Linked DNA regions of Canis lupus familiaris. The protein of the gene in region 1 purifies or fractionates together with the protein of each later gene. This does not show direct contact. Links are inferred from orthologs where the notes say so. Each region holds a gene or a part of one and is shown in the gene's direction. Other genes may lie near its edges.

Evidence for each region.
Region 2: the proteins of ISG15 (region 1) and HERC5 purify together in Homo sapiens (affinity purification with western blotting; 3 studies listed by BioGRID, with this or other methods). This does not show direct contact. The link is inferred for Canis lupus familiaris from reciprocal best matches to the Homo sapiens genes ISG15 and HERC5.
Region 3: the proteins of ISG15 (region 1) and ENO1 purify together in Homo sapiens (affinity purification with mass spectrometry; 4 studies listed by BioGRID, with this or other methods). This does not show direct contact. The link is inferred for Canis lupus familiaris from reciprocal best matches to the Homo sapiens genes ISG15 and ENO1.

What each region holds. Positions count from the first base shown.
Region 1 is NC_049226.1:56,709,067-56,715,550, forward strand, and holds ISG15 (ubiquitin-like protein ISG15), read left to right. Parts: upstream 1-3,614; 5' UTR 3,615-3,750; coding exon 3,751-3,771; intron 3,772-4,207; coding exon 4,208-4,711; 3' UTR 4,712-4,768; downstream 4,769-6,484.
Region 2 is NC_049253.1:28,189,870-28,196,905, reverse strand, and holds part of HERC5 (E3 ISG15--protein ligase HERC5), read left to right. Parts: intron 1-1,388; coding exon 1,389-1,509; intron 1,510-1,781; coding exon 1,782-1,858; intron 1,859-4,673; coding exon 4,674-4,895; intron 4,896-6,274; coding exon 6,275-6,366; intron 6,367-6,821; coding exon 6,822-6,952; intron 6,953-7,036.
Region 3 is NC_049226.1:62,794,486-62,800,180, reverse strand, and holds part of ENO1 (alpha-enolase), read left to right. Parts: intron 1-65; coding exon 66-135; intron 136-560; coding exon 561-694; intron 695-1,115; coding exon 1,116-1,338; intron 1,339-2,600; coding exon 2,601-2,798; intron 2,799-3,466; coding exon 3,467-3,668; intron 3,669-4,091; coding exon 4,092-4,200; intron 4,201-4,369; coding exon 4,370-4,428; intron 4,429-5,487; coding exon 5,488-5,557; 3' UTR 5,558-5,695. UniProt on the Homo sapiens protein: Glycolytic enzyme the catalyzes the conversion of 2-phosphoglycerate to phosphoenolpyruvate. In addition to glycolysis, involved in various processes such as growth control, hypoxia tolerance and allergic responses.

The sequences.
Region 1 (6,484 bases):
TGAGTCTGTTCCCATTATGCCGCTTATGTTAGAAAAGCACAACACAACACCAACTTATCAGGTCCCCACTTCACTCTCCACCTACTGCTGCTTCTCTATGGCGAAGCTCCTGGGACAACCATCTACCGTGTGAATCCAGTTCCTCTCCTCTGCTTTCTCAAACTCTCTCAGTCTGCCCCAAGACTGTGGAGACCAAGCTCGGCAAGGTCACCAGGATGTCCCTGCGGCTGATCCAGTAGTGACTAGGGTGGCTACACATCCCTCTCTGGCTTCTTAGCCATATCAACCCCTGATTGCCCTCCGCCTCACTGCCACTCCTTCTGCCTTTCTGATTTCTGCATGACTCCTTACCCTCTCTGTACCCACTCCCTTGCATGCCTCACACAGTCTCCTGCTAATGACATCCCAAATGGTAACCCCAGCCTGGACTTATCCATGAACCGCAGGCCATATCCCTCACCGGATTTTAAATCTAACAGACATTTCAGGTGCAATATGTCTATAACCAAGTTCCTGAGTCCTATAGTATTGGGTTTTGACTGTGGATCTCAGTTTCACACCCACCCTGGAGTCTTCCCCTCCCTCCCACCACCAGGAGGTCCTGACCACAGAGGCATGAGTAGGGTTGGCCAACCTCCCTCTGGACCACTTTTGTCCCACCTCTACCCTCTATAGCCCTAGCCTCTTCTCTGCTGCCCAACCTCCTGCCCCACTGTAGTGTCCCCATGTTCTCCTATGACTTTCCCCCCTCTGACACCTGGTGAACAAGTTGTTATACTAACTTTTCTGTTTAGACAAATGGGGCAGTCTCTGCCTGGTGTCTGGGCCTGACTGAAGCCCCTTGCCTCCCCTACATCTTTCTTGGACTCCTCAGACCAGCATTCTGCTGCCACCCTTGACACTAGGAGTCCACTCTCCACCCTGGCCTATCAGGCCCTACTACAGCTCTAGCTCCCTGATATATCCAATACCTCTCCTGCCACTGACTCCACACCAACACCACATTTTCTCTGGATTTTCAGAGAAACTCCTAATTGATCTCCAGCTCCCTTCCTGACCTGAGGTCTTCTACTTCATGCAACTGTCCTGATGATCCTGTTAGGCCTGAGCAAAATCAGGTCAGCCCCTCCTGGGGGAATGCATAGTGTCTCCAGTGGCCATCTCCATGCCCTGCTTCTCTGCATCCACTCATCAGCCTTACTGCCTCCCGCATGTGTAGACACACTCCTGCCCCAGGGTTTTGCAGCACCCTGGCCTCTGCCTGGGATTCTTTAGGACTTACATCCCCCTTTTCTGCTCTTTTCTTCTTTGTACTTATCCCTGGCAACATATGCCTTTCTTTTTTTTTTTTTTTTTTTTGGTTTAGACTTTATTTTTAAGTAATCTTTATACCCAACATGGGGCTCAAACTTACAACCCTGAGATTGAGAGTTGCACGCTATACCAATTGAGCCAGCTGGGCACCCTGCAACACATGACTTCTGTACCTACTTATACCACCCAATGTCTGTCCACTACACTAGAATGTGAACTCCATTTTGTCCAGGAGTAGTACCTGGCACAAAGTGTGTACTCTGTAAAGACATGTTAGCCAAATGAATGAATAACAAAGATGGCACCTCTCCAATATCCAGATAATGATACCATCTTTTCCCAAAATCAATGGTGACAGCATCCTACCAAGATCTGAGCAATGGAGGCATATATTCCAATATCTCATATCAAAATATGATTTTCAAGGCAAAAAAACATGACTTCCAAAAAAATGCAGAGTGAGCACATGTCGAGTGTTTTGTTTAGCTCACCAATGGGAAAACCAGCAGGTTCCAAGAGGCTTTGAGGGAGTACAGGTCAGATGCCATATGAGGCAGCAAGATCATGTTTCTCCAGGATAGAAGTCCTCTACGTCTGGTAGGATGGAGGTATGTTTATGATATACTGTTTTGAATGAAGCAGGTTACAAAATGGTAAGAGTAGGATGAGTTAATTTCTTTGGCTTTGTTTTTATTGAGGTAAAATTCATATAACAAAAATTTAACCATTTTAAAGTACATAACTCAGAGTCAGTATATTTACAACATTGTGCAACCATTACCTCTATCTAGTTCTAAGACATTGTATCACCCTCAAAGGAGGCCTCATATTCATAAAGCAATCATTCCCTGGCAATCAATACTGGACTCTATGGGTTTGCCTATTGTGGATATCTCATATAAATAGAATCATATGATATATGTGGCCTTTTGTGTCTGGCTTATTTCACTTAACATAATGTTTTCAGGATTCATTCATGTGGTAGCAGGTATTAGTACTTCATCCCTTTTTATGGCTCAATAATATTCCATCATAAGAGTGTATCATATTTTGTTTATGCATCCATCTGTTGATGGACTTGGTTGTTTCCACAATTTCTATCTTTTTTCTGTTGTAAATAGTGCTGCTATGAACATTTGGGTACAAGTACTTCTCTGAACACCTGTGTTCAATTCTTTTCAACATATACCCAGGAATGGAATTGCTGGGTCATGTGAAAATCCTGTTTAACTTTTTGAGGAGTGACTACACTGTTTTCCACAGTAGCTGCACCATTTTTACATTACCATCAGCAATGTATGAAGGTTCCAATTTCTTTACATCCTCATCAACACTCGTTATTGTTTTTTTTGAATTATTATTTTATATTATACTAATATATTATTATAGTCATGCTATAATAATAAGTGTGACATAGTATCTCATTGTGATTTTGATCTAAGTTTCTCTAATGACATTTCCCTAAGGACTAATGATGTTGAGCATCTTTTCATGTGTATTTATGTATTTTCTACAGAGAAAGATCTATTCAAACACTCGCCCAATTAAAAAAAAAAGATTTATTTATCTGTTTATTTGAGAGAAAGAGAGAGCAGGGGAGAGGCAGAGAGAAACCTGAGCAGACTCCAGGCTGAGTGCAAAGCCTGACATGGGGCTCAATCTCACAACCCTGAGATCATGACCTGAGCCAAAACAGAGTTGGCCACTTAACCAACTCTGCCACCCAGGTGCCCCCATTTGCCCAATTTTTTATTGAATTGTTTATATTTTTTATAGTTCAGTTCTAAGAGTTCTTTATATGTTATGGACACCAGATCCTTATCTGACTTATGATTTGCAAATATTTTCTTCCATTTTGAGAAAAGCCTTTTCACTTTCTGGATAGTGTTCATGAATTCATTTTTATAGAAAATAAGAGATATATTTCTTTCATTAAACCAACAAACAAAAAACAATCTGAAGAAATACCATCCTAAACCAATGGTGATAATCTCTGGGTAGTTTGGATTGTCACTTGTTTGTTATTTCTGAATTAATTGCAGCAATGTTTTCCAAACTTACTAATTTTGCAAATTGGTAAATGGAAAGTGAATGTTTCCAGTCATTAGTTTCTGTTATGACTTCCGTGTAGCTTGTAAAGAACCTGAAGTGCTAGACACTTACGGGGGTTTCTGAATGAACACAGGGTGAGAGCATTGTCCTGAGTCTCTGGGCAGGTGGGTAATCCCAGGTCTTTATTACTGTTTTGTTTCTGCTACTCACAGGAGCATTCCCTGGGAAAAGGAAACTGAAACCGAAGCTAAATTCAGCCAATGGTCAGGCTCTCTCCCCAACACTGCCCTCTGACGTGAACAGCTCAGGTTCATAAAAGGGCTGAACAGGAGAGTAGCTGCAAGCTGAGAGGCAGCCAATCCATCTGTGCCCCTGGAGGACTTGATGCTGGAGCCTACAGCCATGGTAAGGGGTGTTTGACAGGCGGGGGGCAGGTGGGCTCTGTACCAGGCTCTTTTCCTATCTTACTGCTAGGGTCTTCCAAGGGTGGAGCCAGGCAAGTGGAGGTGCTCAGAGCTCCCCCAGGTCCCTAAGCATGAGGGGAGGGGCAGGGCCGCTTCTGAGATTGAGGTCTGGGTCTGGGAAAATGTGTTTTGCCAGTGTTGAATTCTGAGATCCCTTGGCATTGGCACAGGAAGGCATCTTAGTGGGCTGAGGAGGTGAGGTGATGGTCCTGGGGGATGGGCCTTTCTTCTGGAAATGCTCCCTGCTTCCCTCTAGTGCCTGGGGTTCCTTTCCTGGTGGGTGGGGAGGAGAGCACAGCTTTCCCTGTGGCCAATGATCTGCATGTAGAGGCTCCAGGACTGATGGTGAGGTTTATGAGTCTGTGTGATGCCCACAGGCTGGGAACCTGACTGTGAAGATGCTGGGAGGTGAGGAGTTCCTGGTGCCCCTGAGGGACTCTATGCTGGCATCAGAGCTGAAGCAGCAGATAGCCCTGAAAACTGGCGTGCCTGCGTTCCAACAGCGCCTAGCTACCCACCCGGCTGGCACAGTGCTGCAGGATGGGATCTCCCTCATCAGGCAGGGCCTGTGTCCTGGCAGCACAGTCCTGCTGGTGGTGAAGAACTGTAATGACCCCCTGAGCATCCTGGTGAGAAACAATAAGGGTCGCAGTATCGCCTACGAGGTCTGGCTGACACAGACTGTGGCTGAGCTCAAGCAGCAAGTGTGCCAGCAGGAGCACGTGCAGGCTGACCTGTTCTGGCTGACTTTTGAAGGGAAGCCCATGGAGGACAAGCACCAGCTGGGGGAGTATGGTCTCACACCCCAGTGCACTGTGTTCATGAATTTACGCCTGCGGGGTGGTGGTGGGAATTGGGCAGGACCAGGAGGGCAGTGCTGAGAGCCACCCACCCAAGTCCTTGACCAAGTATGGGTAATAAAAGTTGACAAAATTAAATGGCTCCTTCTGCTTGGTCCTTCCCCCAGCATCCCTCACTTCTGCATCCCTGCTGATGTGGACAGGGAGGGACAGAGGAGGAAGTGGGATAAGGAGACCCAGGGACGCTGGGTGGTCAGTAGGCTGGGGTTGCCAAGTTAAGGGACAAGACTAGTGAGATCAAAATAGAGATCTACTCCCATCCACACCTTGGACAAATTGAAGATGTCCCCACACCTTCGGGAAGTTAACTTCTAGAGAAAGAAAAGAGACACATCTGCTGGAGCCCACCTCTATCTCCAGATTGAGCCAGAATCAGCCTTTGCACAACTGGTTCCCATTCCCTACATCTGGGTCAGCAGACAGTATGGTGGGGTGGGGGGAGGTGTGGTCAGGTTCCTGCTGGGACCAGCACCCCTGGAAATGGTGAGAGGGTGAGGCCCCAGAGCCTGCCTCGGTGGGCTGTGAAGCAGGCTCCTCCAAACCAGCCAGGGCCCTGGGGCCTCATGGCCCTCCAGGATCCATCAGCCTGCCCTGTCCAGTCTGCATTGGTTTAGGGAGGGGTACGGGCAGGGCCTTGAACACACACATCACTGTCCCACAAACTGCTAAACGGAGACTATTCTCCAGCAGATACACCTTCCTTCAGGGCTTTACTTAATGGAGAGGCCATGGCCAGCAGGAGAGGGGCCTCCCGGGATGAGGGGTTCCTCTAGTTCATACGGAAGAGCTTGTCCTAGGTGGGGGGCACCTATTTCCACATAGGTGGAAACACACCTGCTTCCACATAGAATGGTTCTTTCTATACCAATTCCCCAAGAACTCTACAGGAGCCAGATGGTGTCAGCCTTGGACACAGGCAAGATGGGGAGTGTGTGTGTGTGTGGGGGGGGGGGGTGGACGCTCAGAACATACTTCTCTGAGGACACTCAGACTTCAGCTTTCAGACTGCAAGGGTAATTTGGCTGGAGGCCCAGAAGCCCCTTTCTGGTCTGTGGGGGTCTGTATCTAGGCCAAGGGACTTCTAGGTCTGGCTTATCTGTGACCAATATGTGTAGACAGGCAGCTGTGTGTGTGGGGGGGGTGGGGTGCTCCCCTGATTCCAGTTTCATTTCCTGGGTCCCTACCCTCCCTTCTTTGTCATAAGACAAATTAGCCAGTGTGAGCATACACCCTTGGTGGCACCCTCCCACCAGGGCCTGGGGAGGTAGGGTCCTCCTCCAGAGGGGGGCTCTTCTGCCACTTACCCTCCATTGCTTCAGCGATCTGTGGCTGGCTCGGAGTTGAGGAGGTGTGCCGGCGACCCGGCCCTGGCGGGACAGAAGCGGTAGCCTCTCCCTTCCCTCCATCTCCAGCTAAGCTAGGCTCTCATTTGTACCCCCTGGATCTCGGTTTACCCGGGTTATCCAGGCCGGCAGGCTGGAGAGGCGCTCATCTCGGGGCTGAAGAGGGGGCGTGGCTGTCCGTGCGCCGCCGGCCCCACGTTGTCACCGCTGGCCTGTAGAGGGAGCCCTCCGCTCTGCAGTGAGGCCCCAGCTCACCCGGGAACGGGAGGTGGGCGGGTCTGCGCTCCGTCCTGGCCAATCACCACGGCCCCCAGCCCACATTGGCCCTAGCCCGCCGGGGGCGCGGCCTGCGGGGGCCGCCTACTCGCCCGAACTGGCTGGGGGTCCCGCGCCCCGGCGAGTTTGCGGCCCCGGTTTTCCAAGAGGCTGTCGTGCCCCAGCGGGTTCCTCC
Region 2 (7,036 bases), on another chromosome or scaffold:
GACCATTTCTTCTTTATTACCAAACTATTTTGGTTCTCATAGCATTTCTAATGTGAAGTGGTTTGTGCTTTGAGATTTTTACATGAATAAATTCTATTTGGTTAGAACCAAAAAGTAAAACAAGATCTCCTATCTAATTTTTGTGAACAAATGAAATAAGAGTAAACGGTAACTGGACAATTTTTAAATCTCTTAATTTTTAGAAAGGGCTAAATATGCAATAATGACCATGAAAATTCTTTTGACACCATTCTTCCTTAAAAATAGTCCTCCTCAAAAAAAAAAAAAAAAATGTCCTCAAACACAATTCTTCCTTTCAAAAATATAGAACTTGGCTTCTACATGGAGCAATTAAGAGGTTTTATTATTATTTGTTTTGTATTTGTAAAGAGTAGGTCTCAAAATACACAAAATGAGTTATGTTCTCCAGATATTGTTATATTTTCTTATAGAATTTTTCATTTCTGTCGCTTCAAATTCAATTTCTGTCTCAATTTATTAAACAGGAATTCAAAACAATATTTAATTGGTTATTTTAAAACTATATTGAATTTATTTGATTTTATTTTTTAGAGGGGGGAGGGGCAGAGGGCGAGAAAGAATCTTAAGCAGGCTCCAAGCTCCTCCATTTTACAATCCTGAGATCATGAGCTGACCTGAAACCCAAGAGAGATGCTTAACCGACTGAGCCACTTAGGCACCCCAAAACTATATTCAGTTTATTTTTATTTTTTAAAGATGTTATTTATTTATTTATGAGATACATAGAGAGAGAGGCAGAGACACAGGCAGAGGGAGAAGCAGGCTCCATGCAGGGAGCCTGACGCGGGACTCCATCCCGGGTCTCCAGGATCAGGCCCTGGGCCGAAGGCAGCGCTAAACCGCTGAGCCACCCAGGCTGCCCTATATTCAGTTTAAAACAAAGTATGAATCAATGCTTTCCCAAATTGAAAAAATCCATGGCCGGGGTGTTTGGATGCATCTGCCTTTAGCTCAGGTCATGGTCTCCGGATCCTGGGATCCAGCCCCACGGTGGGCTCCCTGCTCAGGAGGCAGTCTGCTTTTCTCTCTCTCTTTCTCTCTTTTTTCCTCCCTCCCTTTTCCTCTTTCCTTCCCTCCCTCTCCTCCTCCCTACCACTCGTTCTCTCCTTCTCAAAAATAAATACAATCTTAAGAAAAAAGAAAAAAAAATCCGTTGTCAAACAGTAGCATTGTTAGTTTGTCTGCTTTCATTCTTGAATTTTTCTTTAAAGAGAGGTTCGTGTTAAGTCCAAGGTTGTCTCGTTGAAATTTTTTGGGGGGTGTTTTAAGTGTATTATAACGAAATGATTAATGATAATGGGTAATAACCAGAGTGGTGATAATTCCTGGTTGGATTTGCTCTGCAGAGTGCATTAAATTAGGGAAAAAAATGAAGATACATTCCGTGGACCAAGGAGCAGAGCACATGCTGATTCTATCCTCAGATGGAAAACCATTCGAGTACAACTATAGCATAGAACATGCAAGGTAGGGAACTTTTTTTTCTTTTACAAAAAATTATATTAAAGATTATTTAAATTTTACTCAAGAGGCAATCATAATTTTTATAGGAAAATGGTAATTTATATGAATTTTGTCCTCTGCTTTATATAGTGGCTCTAAAGTAAACAATTCTGAAATGACCAGTGAATTTCATCAGTGAACTATATCAATTCCAATTAAATACAATTAATAAATTTAACATTGATGTTGTGACTTTCATTATAGTGATTGACATAAATTTTATTTTCTTTCATCAGGTTTCAATGCATTTTACAAGAAAAAAGTATAATTCAGATCACATGTGGAGATTATCATTCTCTTGCACTCTCAAAAGGTACTTTTCTGGAATATTGTTTTTTAGAAGGAATAAACATGTATATGTGTATATGTAGAGCTAGTAGAATGTATGTGCTTCACTTTATAATAGACAAAGTTATGATTTTGAATTTGCTATAGTTCAGGGCACTTGTTCTTTTTTTTTTTTTTTTTTTTAAGTAGCTCTAGGCTCAGTATGGGGCTTGAATTCATGACCCTGAGATAGAGTCAATCAAGAGTCACATGCTCTACCAACTGAGCCAGCCAGGCACCCCAAGGCACTTGTTACAAAATAAAAGAATTTTTGGATCTATAAAATCTTTAGGTTTCCATATTCATCGTTTCTACATTGCATTCTGTCAAATGACAAAACAAACAATTTAGTAAAGAATTTGATACCCTTTGTTCAAGGACAATCGATGGATTAGGAGTACAGTGCATCACAAGCAGTGGAGCACTCTTCTAGAAGGATTTTGAGCAAGGGCAAGTTTTCTAAAGCATTGGAAGCCACAGTGCAGAAATAGGGCATGGTTGATTGGGGGTTGCATATCTAATTTTATTTAGAAATAGCAGGCAACAACTATATGGCTCAGAGTTGGCTTGGTGTTTGGGGATTAGTTTACTGGATATATAGTGTTTCTGGTCAAGTGGAGCAGTTAAAGGAGTTTGTAAGTCAGTTTGCTGATACAGCACTGGTTCCATCTTGACTTGAGAGATTTATTTCAACAGTTCCATGTTTTTATTTTTCAAATAAGAAACAATGAAAATATTCTGAATAATTAGAATCATTCTGGAAAGAGGACCAAGCATGGATGCCTTTTCTAGAACCTGCTTCCCTTTTTCTAGTTCTCTTTCAGCGCCCATGACAGGAGCTTAGACTCCCTTGGATCTAATCTTGTGGCCAGTTTGCAGGCCTCTATGTGTTCCTCGTTATCATTTAAATTCAGGGATTCTCTCCAGCCCTTATTATTTCCTATTTCTTTTTTTCTTTTTTTTTTTTTTAAGATCATTCATGAGACACACACACACACAGAGAGGCAGAGACACAGGCAGAGGGAGAAGCAGGCTCCCTGTGTGGAGCCTGATGCAAGACTCAATCCCAGGACCCGGGATCATGACCTGTGTCAAAGGCAGATGCTTAACCACTGAGCCACACAGGTGCCCCCCCAAAAGTTTTTTTTTTTAAATATATAAGGCAGATAGAAACAAACTGAAGGGAAACTGGGGTGAAATAGAAGTAACTAATCTAGAATTTGACCTTTGCTGAAAGCCCAGTTGAAGTTGAGAGTATGAACTTATATTTAAAAAATTAAAAAAAAAAAAAAAAAAAAACAAAACAAAACAAAAAAATAAAAAATTGACCTGGTTGTTTGAATTTATCCATTCACCAACACATATTTCGAATATCTACCCTTTTCAAGTTATTTATTTACTTATTTAAAAGATTTTATTTATTTACTCATGAGAGAGACACAGAGAGAGAGAGAGGCAGAGACACAGGCAGAGGGAGAAACAGGCTCCATGCAGGGAGCCCAACATGGGACTCGATCCCGGGTTTCCAGAATCATGCCCTCGGCCAAAAGCAGGCCCTAAACCGATGAGCCACCCAGGGATCCCCTACCCTATTCAAGTTATAAAGATAAATGGATACACCAGGTCTTCAAGAAGCCTAGAGTCTAATGACGTGGGGCAAAAAAGATATTCAGAGTTTATTTCTGGTAATCATAATCTAGGAAGAATGAAAGGGAAGCAAGAAAGAGAACTAACCATTTCATCATTCATTATATGCCTGGTGGCTGGTAGGCACCTGATAATTACATTTGAAGGAGAGGTGCTGCCTCCCACCAGATCCTGCACAGTCTTTTGCAAAGAGGTACTCAGTAAACATTAATACTCTGATATATTTTTTTCAGACCCTGTTAGATATTGTCATCTCCATCAGATAACACTTAAGTTGTCTTGAAAAATAGGCTCCATGTATTCAATTAAGGAAGAAGATGTGGAGTCAAGATACTGTGCTATGATTTCAAATGTATAAATTATTTAGAATCTTCAGGCTAATGAACAGAGCAGGTGGGCAGAAGGCAAACATTAATTTTAGGCTTTATTTTCCCAGATGTAGAAAGTTTCTGGTTTTCTTGGGCCCATCATGATTTGTTTTTTAAATAAATATTTCTTGGTTTTGATTATAATATGTTCAGGTAGCTCCATTCTACCTGTCTTTGTCCGTTCGGGCTGCTGTAACAAAAATACCATAGATTGGCTGACTGAAACAGCAGGAATTTGAAGGTCCGATTCAGGGTGTCAGCAGATTGAATGTCTTTTGAAGGTCCACCATGTAAGTGGTGGAGAGGGCAAGAGAACTCTCTGGAATGTCTCTTTTAAGGGCACTGATCCCATTTTTGAGGGCTCCATACTGATGATCTCAGGTAATCCTCATCATCTCCCAAAGGTCCACCTCCTAATACCTTCACGTTTAGGGTTAGGATTTCAACAGGTATATTTCGGGGTGGGAGTGGGCGGTGGACATGACCATTTAAGAAGCCCACAATCTAGTGATATGGGACAAGTGGGGATGTTCAGGGTTTATTACTGGTAAGTCACAATCTAGGAAGATGAGATTTGGGGAAGCAAGGACACTACCCTTTGAGGCAGGAAGTAAAGAAGTATAACTGTTATTGCTAAAGAGAAGATGTTCTAGTTTCATTGTCTCAGACATACAGTATCTGAGAAGTTGAATGTAAGAGACTGTATAGTATGGATAACATAACATGTCCTAAGTTAATGTTTCCTGCACTTGAAACTTAATAAGGCAGCCTTTTGTTTATGTCAAGGTGGTGAGCTTTTTGCGTGGGGACAGAATTTACATGGCCAGCTTGGAGTTGGAAGACTATTCACCTCAATCCCCACGCCACAGCTTGTGGAGCACCTCTCAGGAGTCCCATTGGTTCAGATTTCCGCGGGAAAAGCCCACAGCATGGCCTTATCCATGTCTGGAAACATTTACTCATGGGGAAGAAATGATTTGGGACAACTAGGCCTGGGCCACACTAACGGTATGGAAACATATTTTCAAGCTCTTATTGTCAGATATATTTGTTAGATAAGAGATGAATTTAACTCGAGGGAGGGCCTCCCTGTCAAAAATGGTTTAGATCTTCACTGTCATTTATGCTGTTCTTCCTGGTTATCTTTGTCTTCAGGGCAGAATCAATCTAGAAGACATGCATTGTGTGGAGGTGGTTGTGATTAAATGTATGTCAGGGTTGTGTGGGCTCAGGGAAAGGACATTGGACTGTTGGGAATATCTAGGCTCTGCTTCCTACTTTGCAAGTTAACTAATGAGAAGGCCTTGCTGAGTCACTTAATTTTTCTCTAGGCATTATTTTCTTTTTCTGTAAAGTGATGCTTTTGGTTGAAATAACCTCTAAAGTGCCTTTGCACTTAAATGTCTGTTAACAGAAGTATATCCATGTTAGGACAGAAGGAGACTAATGATTTCTTTAGAAACTCACATATTCTAAACTTAGTCTATAAGGTATTAATTATATCTGTATACACAGATAGGGAAAAAAATCTGTAATTCCCATATCGAACTACTTCCACAAAGCAGATGGCAAATTTTTTTATGATCCAAAATACCCTCTTGGAGTTTTCAGGTGTGGCACATTGCTGCTTTATCAACTGTGGTAATGCACATGTTACCCCCTGGGTCACTGGTCATACTGCACCTTTCCCCGACATGGTCCAGTGCTAGTTACTCAGGAGAAACCATAAGTCCATGGGCGAAGGGAATAAAAAGCAGTTAAACTGTATTTGCTGAATCCCTAAGTACTAGGACAAAGCAATCGTTGAAAGAAAAAAGAGGTAGTGTGGGGTAGGGACATGGTAGTAGAGTTTTTTTTTTTTAAGATTTTATTTACGTATTCATGAAAGACACAGAGGCAGAGACTTAGGCAGAGAGAGAAGCAGGCTCCAAGGGGAGCCTGATGTGGGACTTGATCCTAGGACCCTGGGATCACACCCGGAGCTGAAGGCAGATGTTCAATCACTGAGCCACCCAGGTGACCCGGGAATAGAGAATATAAAAGAAAAAAAGGGTATGTTTATTAAAAGGGTGATTTTAGATGGGAATTGGAAATACCAGATAATGCTGCAATTAAAGTTAATGAAGTTAGGCTAAAAGAAGAGTGGGTTCTAGGAACTGGCTTGACACTTTGGCATATGAGTTCTCCTGTGTGTGGCCCTTTGACCACTGCCTCACCCCCAGTTTTAGGCCAAAATAAATATACCAATCCAGCGGCCTTTCCTGTTGGGTTTTGGGAACTGTGGTTGCCAGCTGGGAGTCCAGGTATTTTACTAGTAGCATAGAACTCCAATGTGCAAGTCGATGTTTTTTTTTTTTTTTATTACTTCTATTCTTTTCCTTGTGTAGGTGAAGATTTTCCTTCTCTTATTGAAGCACTGGACAATCAGAAAGTAGAATTCCTCGCTTGTGGTGGCTCTCACACTGCCCTGCTCACAAAGGTGCGTGTTGCCTGTTCTCTCCAATGATAATTCTGGAAGAACTTTTAGTGGGGAAAGCACAGGAACACCTAGGTGTGCACACTTAGTGATTCCCTGGGAAAAGAGGTCACTTCCTACATGCAGGATTGTCCTCCTGATAATTTTAGGAGTTTGCTTTTTTTTTTTAAAGATTTGTTTATTTTAGAGAGTGTGTGCACATGAGTGGGGGGGAGGGGCCAAGAGAGGGGTGGAAAAACTGACTTCCTGCTGAGCACAGAGCCCATTGTGGGGCTTGATCTCATGCACCTGAGATCATAGCCTGAACTGAAATCAAGAGGCAGATGCTTAACTGACTGAGCCACCTATCAGGCTCCCCTGATATTAATTTTATTAATTATTCAGTCTTTTTATTAATTTTTCAGTAATATTACTTACTGTTGTATTTCTTTAGAATCTGATAAGTTTTCTTTCTTCAGGATGGGCTGGTATTTACTTTTGGTGCTGGAAAATATGGGCAGCTCGGTCACAATTCAACACAGAATGAGTTAAGACCCCGTTTGGTGACTGAGCTTGCTGGGAATAGAGTGACCCAGGTAGCATGTGGAAGGTAAGTTGTAAAGTGTCCATGAAAATTAATGAAGTGAATACAATAAATTTAGATAGATAATTTAATAAAACTTCCATCAGTTTT
Region 3 (5,695 bases), about 6.1 Mb from region 1:
GAGGGGTATGACACTGCCGCCGCCACCCCCATCCCCCCGTGACTGACCCTCTCCTCTCCCCGCAGAAAGTGAATGTTGTGGAGCAGGAAAAGATTGACAAACTGATGATCGAGATGGACGGGACAGAGAATAAATGTGAGTGGTCAGGGGTGGAGGCTGCTGGTGTCTCCCAAATACCTTCCGACCCTCTGGGGGTGGTTGTGCGGTCCCCACTGAGGACTGCGCATCAGTCTGGGGGCTTTTCAGGGCCCCCCTCCTCACCTGAATAAATCACGTTTCTAAGTATCAGGAGCAATACCAGGTGACAGCAGCACGCAGTTTTTGTGGAATTTGCCAGAGTTCCATAGACCAAAGAAAGGGCTTTCTCTTGGGAGAAAGCAGATAGATGAGTTCATGTGGAGAGCTGTTGGGTTTCTGGTTCGGATTCGGGGAATAGACGTGGTCAGGAGAGGAAAGGTTCCAGATACAGGCCATGGTATATGCTGGTGTGGGGGTGCAGGCCGGAAGGTCAGCAGGAAGCTGGGAGTATGAAATTCCTCAACTGAATTGTTCTATTCCAGCTAAATTTGGTGCAAACGCCATTCTGGGAGTGTCCCTGGCTGTCTGCAAGGCGGGGGCTGTCGAGAAGGGGGTGCCCCTGTACCGCCACATTGCTGATTTGGCTGGCAATTCTGAAGTTATCCTGCCAGTTCCGGTGAGTGGCTTGGAACTCCAAGTGAGGAGCTTGTGGGTATTTGCTTTGTGGGAACCTAAGACCTCCCACATCTTGGTGTCCTCCACATGGAACTCTCCCAGCACAGTGGGCACGCGCAGGCCCTGGAGGTCTCGGGTGCAGACACCTGCCACTTGCTAAGAATGACCCTGAGTAGAGGACTGTACCCCACATCCCTTACTGCTGATGAGGGAATGAAAACCATACTTGCTGGGTTGTGAATGTTCTCTGAGGTCATAGCTGGTCCTCAGGACAGTAAGCACACCTGGTGGTGACCGCTGCTCTTAGCGGGAGAGACCTGGTGAGCATTTCAGAGCCACACTGTGAGCCATGCAGTCGTGAGGAGGTTGCTTGGGGGCGCTCTCTGGGCCAGATGGCTGTATTTCTCTCTATCTCTCCCTAGGCCTTCAATGTCATCAACGGTGGTTCCCATGCTGGCAACAAGCTGGCCATGCAGGAGTTCATGATCCTTCCCGTCGGTGCAGCGAACTTCAAGGAGGCCATGCGCATTGGAGCAGAGGTTTATCATAACCTGAAGAATGTCATCAAGGAGAAATATGGAAAAGATGCCACCAATGTGGGCGATGAAGGTGGATTTGCTCCTAATATCCTGGAGAACAAAGAAGGTAAAGGCTCTGGAGGAGTCCCCGCATTCCGTGGCACTGCCCGCACGCTTAGCAGATGTGCCGGAACTGTGATGCAGGGAGCTCTGGTCCTTCCACCTTCTGTTCACCAAGCAGACTTCTGGGAACAGATGGGGAAGCTAGTACTTTATTTGTTAAAATAAGGAATTTGCTTATTAATTTGATTTCTGAGTGGCCTGGTTGCTTATTTAAGATTTTATTCTTTTGAGAAAGAATATGGACAGGGGGGAGGGACAGAGGGAGAGGAACAAGCAGACCCCCTACTGAGCAGGGAACCAGATGAGGGACTCGAGCCCAGGACCCTGAACTAAAGGCTCAGATCAGGACCAGAGCTGAAGGCAAACACTTAACCAGCTAAGCCACCACGTGCCCCTACTTGCTCTCTTGCCATTGAACCACCTCATAAGGGCAAAGGTTTGAAGTCCGCACTGTGTCCCGGAGATGTCGTCTGTCCAGCCCGTGACCAGGAGCCCCCCCCCCCCCCCCCCCCCCCCCCAGTTCATCCACTACAGGGCTGTTCACACAGTGCCTTGTTGCCTGGAGCCCTTAGGCACAGGGTTCAACGTAAGAGTTGGGTAGGGCACAGAGAGTCTTAAGAGGAGAACTCACGGCTGAGCTTTTTGTTTTAGAAGGAAAGGAGGGTTCAACCACATTTTGTTGTCTCAGGGACAACTAGTAAAGGAAAAAGCATCCATCCTGCTCTTTGGGTCAGTCATACAAAATGCTGAGGCTCAGCTACTTTGACCTACAAAAAATGACCCTTTCACGTGGTTTAATGGGATAGCTTGGAGATCTGTGGTAGGGAGCAGACGCCAAGTGCCTCTGTCCGCCTCTGTCCGGGCAGCTCTGCCGTGTGAGGCCGCCCTCGAGCTGGAGACAAGAGGCCCCAGAGGCCGGGCCTCACCCTTTTGCTGCCCTCCTGGGTTCCTAGGACAGCGGCTCTCAGCTGGTCACTGTAACTGTCTCAGCCAGCACAGTCACTCCTGGCTGCTAAATTTGGGAGCATGTGTCAGCAAGAAACTCTCTGAGAGGAGAGACTAAATTTTCCATTTGGCCGTCTGCTGGGGGCCGTTTCCAGCAGGTTCTTGCTCCAATGCGGAAAGAAGTACTGGACTCGTCAAAGCGATGATTGGGGTCAGAGTACCTCGTGGTCATTCTGTTAGAGCTCCCCATTTGGCAGCTGCTGAAGGGAACTTTTTTCTCCACCTGCCTGGTTTCCAATCCTGTCGCCAACCTCTTTCCAGCTCTGGAACTGCTGAAGAATGCCATCGGGAAGGCTGGCTACACCGATAAGGTGGTCATCGGCATGGACGTAGCTGCTTCCGAGTTCTTCAGGTCTGGGAAGTATGACCTGGACTTCAAGTCCCCTGATGACCCCAGCAGGTACATCACGCCTGATCAGCTGGCTGACCTCTACAAGTCCTTCATCAGGGACTACCCAGGTGAGCGGGGCAGGCGGGCACTGGTGGAGCAGTGGAGTCAGGTGGTTCTGGGGTGCCAGCCAGCACTGACCTCAGGTGGTAGGTGGTCTCCAGAGTGTGTGAGCCCTCTGTCCCTATCACAGCCTCCTGAGCAAAGGCTGTCCTGGCTCCATCGTGAGCAGAGCGAGCCTCAAGCCTGCTGACTGCCCGTGGGTGACACAGTGAGCTGGCGCTCCTCTAGTCTCTATGTCACTTCACGCACGCAGGGTAGGGACTGTTCCTGCTGTTTCATGAGGGGAACTGAGGCACGGAGTGGGTTAGTAATCGGCCCGAAGGTGCTTAGCAGGTGACGGAGCAAGAATCAGACCAGGAAGTCTGAGTCCCTGCTGGAACAAAGATAGAGAACGTGCTCAGTGGAGCCAGGGCGAGCCCAGCTCCGCAGTCTCCTGAGCCCACAGCTTTTCTCTTCTCGCCGGCACTAAACTCAAGCCACCCTGGACAGGAAGTGTCCCACTTAGCGTCTGTAGGGTCCTAGGGTTGCAGGTGACATTGGTGCCCTGTCACAGGAGTCGGTGGGGACGTGGGGAGCCAGTCCTGTCCTGCGGGAGAGGGGTGAGGCCAAGTGAGGAGGTTCGGGTGGCGGTCAGCACAGGGGTCTCACCGACCACACATGGCTCTCCTTTCCCCAGTGGTGTCTATCGAAGACCCCTTCGACCAGGATGACTGGGAAGCTTGGCAGAAATTCACTGCCAGCGCTGGAATCCAGGTGGTGGGGGACGATCTCACCGTGACCAACCCAAAGCGGATTTCCAAGGCTGTGGGCGAGAAATCGTGCAACTGCCTCCTGCTTAAAGTGAACCAGATTGGCTCTGTGACCGAGTCTCTTCAGGCGTAAGTCCCTTCAGGGCTCAGCTGTCAGAACAAGGTACTGCATGTCAGCCAGAGCACCTGGCTAGAGCTGTGATGGGAGCCTGCAAGTGGCTTCTGAAATCTGCAGTGGTGCCAAGGAGACTGGGGTATCAGGCAGCTGTGGCCCAGTCCTGTCCAGTCTTGGTTCTAGACTCACGACCTGATCTTTGGTGGAAAACATCAGGCATAGGCACTGTCTGGGGAGATAAGCCTCTCCCCTCAAGGAGTCTGAACCCACCTTTTAAAAAGTAACCTAGAGGGCTGAGAAGGTCCTCCTGGCCCTGAGCTGCCTCTGGTCTCCCACTGGGGGTGTTGAGGCCTGGCATCAGGAGGGCCAGAACGACTGCAGGGCCCAGGAAATGGGAGTCACACCATCCAACCGTCCGGTGGTTTCTTGCCTTGTAGGTGCAAGCTGGCCCAGTCCAATGGGTGGGGCGTCATGGTGTCGCATCGCTCCGGGGAGACCGAAGATACCTTCATCGCTGACCTGGTGGTGGGACTCTGCACTGGGCAGGTAAAGAGCTGCTTAACTCTTCTGGGACCTCAGCTTCTCGAGCAGCATGCCAAGAAGGAGGGGGAGGATGGGATCCTGGATGCCCCTTGATGCCCTCCTTTCTGCCCTAAATGCCCATGAAGATTGAGCATCCATGACAAACACAAGTGACCTTTCTTTTCCCTTCTAGATCAAGACGGGTGCACCATGCAGATCTGAGCGCTTGGCCAAGTACAACCAGATCCTCAGGTAAAAAGGAAGCCAACCTGCACTGAGTGTGTGGGCACCATCCTCCAGGGGGAGCCCTGGTTCTATGGGGGGTATGCAGGTGGGGGCCCTTGGTTTAGGGGCTGCCCCAGCACAGAACCTACATCCCCTGAGGCATGGGCCCAGAGCTGGAGGCTGAGGACCATGCTGCCATCTTGTGGTGGAAGAGGGAACAGGTCCCCTTTAGAATAATGTGATCCTAGAATTTTTAGAGCCAGCAGGAAGCCTTAGTGATTGACTAGTCCAGCACTGTGTTTTGTGAGTGAGGACACCGGGCCTCATAGAAGGGGGACAGGCAGGTTCCCACTGGAACCCAGTGCCTTTGGATGTTCTGGTCCCTTTTTATTACCATAATGGGTCCTTGGGGGCCCCTGAACATGGAGACTTGTCTATTTTTTTGTTCCTTTTTCCAGTCTTGAGTCAGCCTGGTTACCCTTTGCTTAAATGGTGCCTGGTGGGACATCTGCCCTGTGACCCACACAGGGCAGCTGTCGGCATTCCCACGGGGCTTCTCTTCATACACTACGTTTCCTCCTTTTCTACTGGAGAACTGGAAGCACATTCCAGTTCTAAGATTTCACCTGTAAATACCTGAGTATAGGTCTCCGAGAAACATTTGTTTACTTTTTAACCACCCTGCTCTCCCCATGCCATGAGAGTGCCGGGGATTCGGTCATTCTGTAACATCCACGCCGAGTGTGTGTCCTTATGCCACCTCTAAAGAAACTGGGTTGTCCTTTCATTAAAATCATTTTTCTTTCTCTTCCAAGAACTAGCACTTCTGCCCTTTTTTCTACTTTGTCTTTGGGAAATGCTGGGGGCGGGGGAGGTTGGGAAGCAGAAGCAGCAGTGAGTGGCCCACTTGCTGGGGTAGCTGGGTGGACACAAGAGCCAAATGCCCCTCTCTTCCTGCCGCCTCTGAGCAGCCACATCCAGAGGAGGCTGGTCCCTGCTATCTGGGTAGGGGATGTGGGCCTTGGGGACAGATGTTTGACTTCTCTTTTCCTCCTCCCCCTCCCCCTCTCTCCTCTGCCTCCCAAGAATTGAAGAGGAACTGGGTAGCAAGGCCAAGTTCGCCGGCAGAAGCTTCAGAAACCCCCTTGCCAAGTAAGGTCCAGGTGGCGCACCCTGTGGTCCTGAGTCAGCTCGTTAGACCTCTGCTCCCCCGGGCAGCTCAAGGCCCCCAGCCCAAAGTGGCAGGGCCCTGTGCTAGTTAGCTGCCCTCTCCCTTCCCCGTGATGTTCTCAAA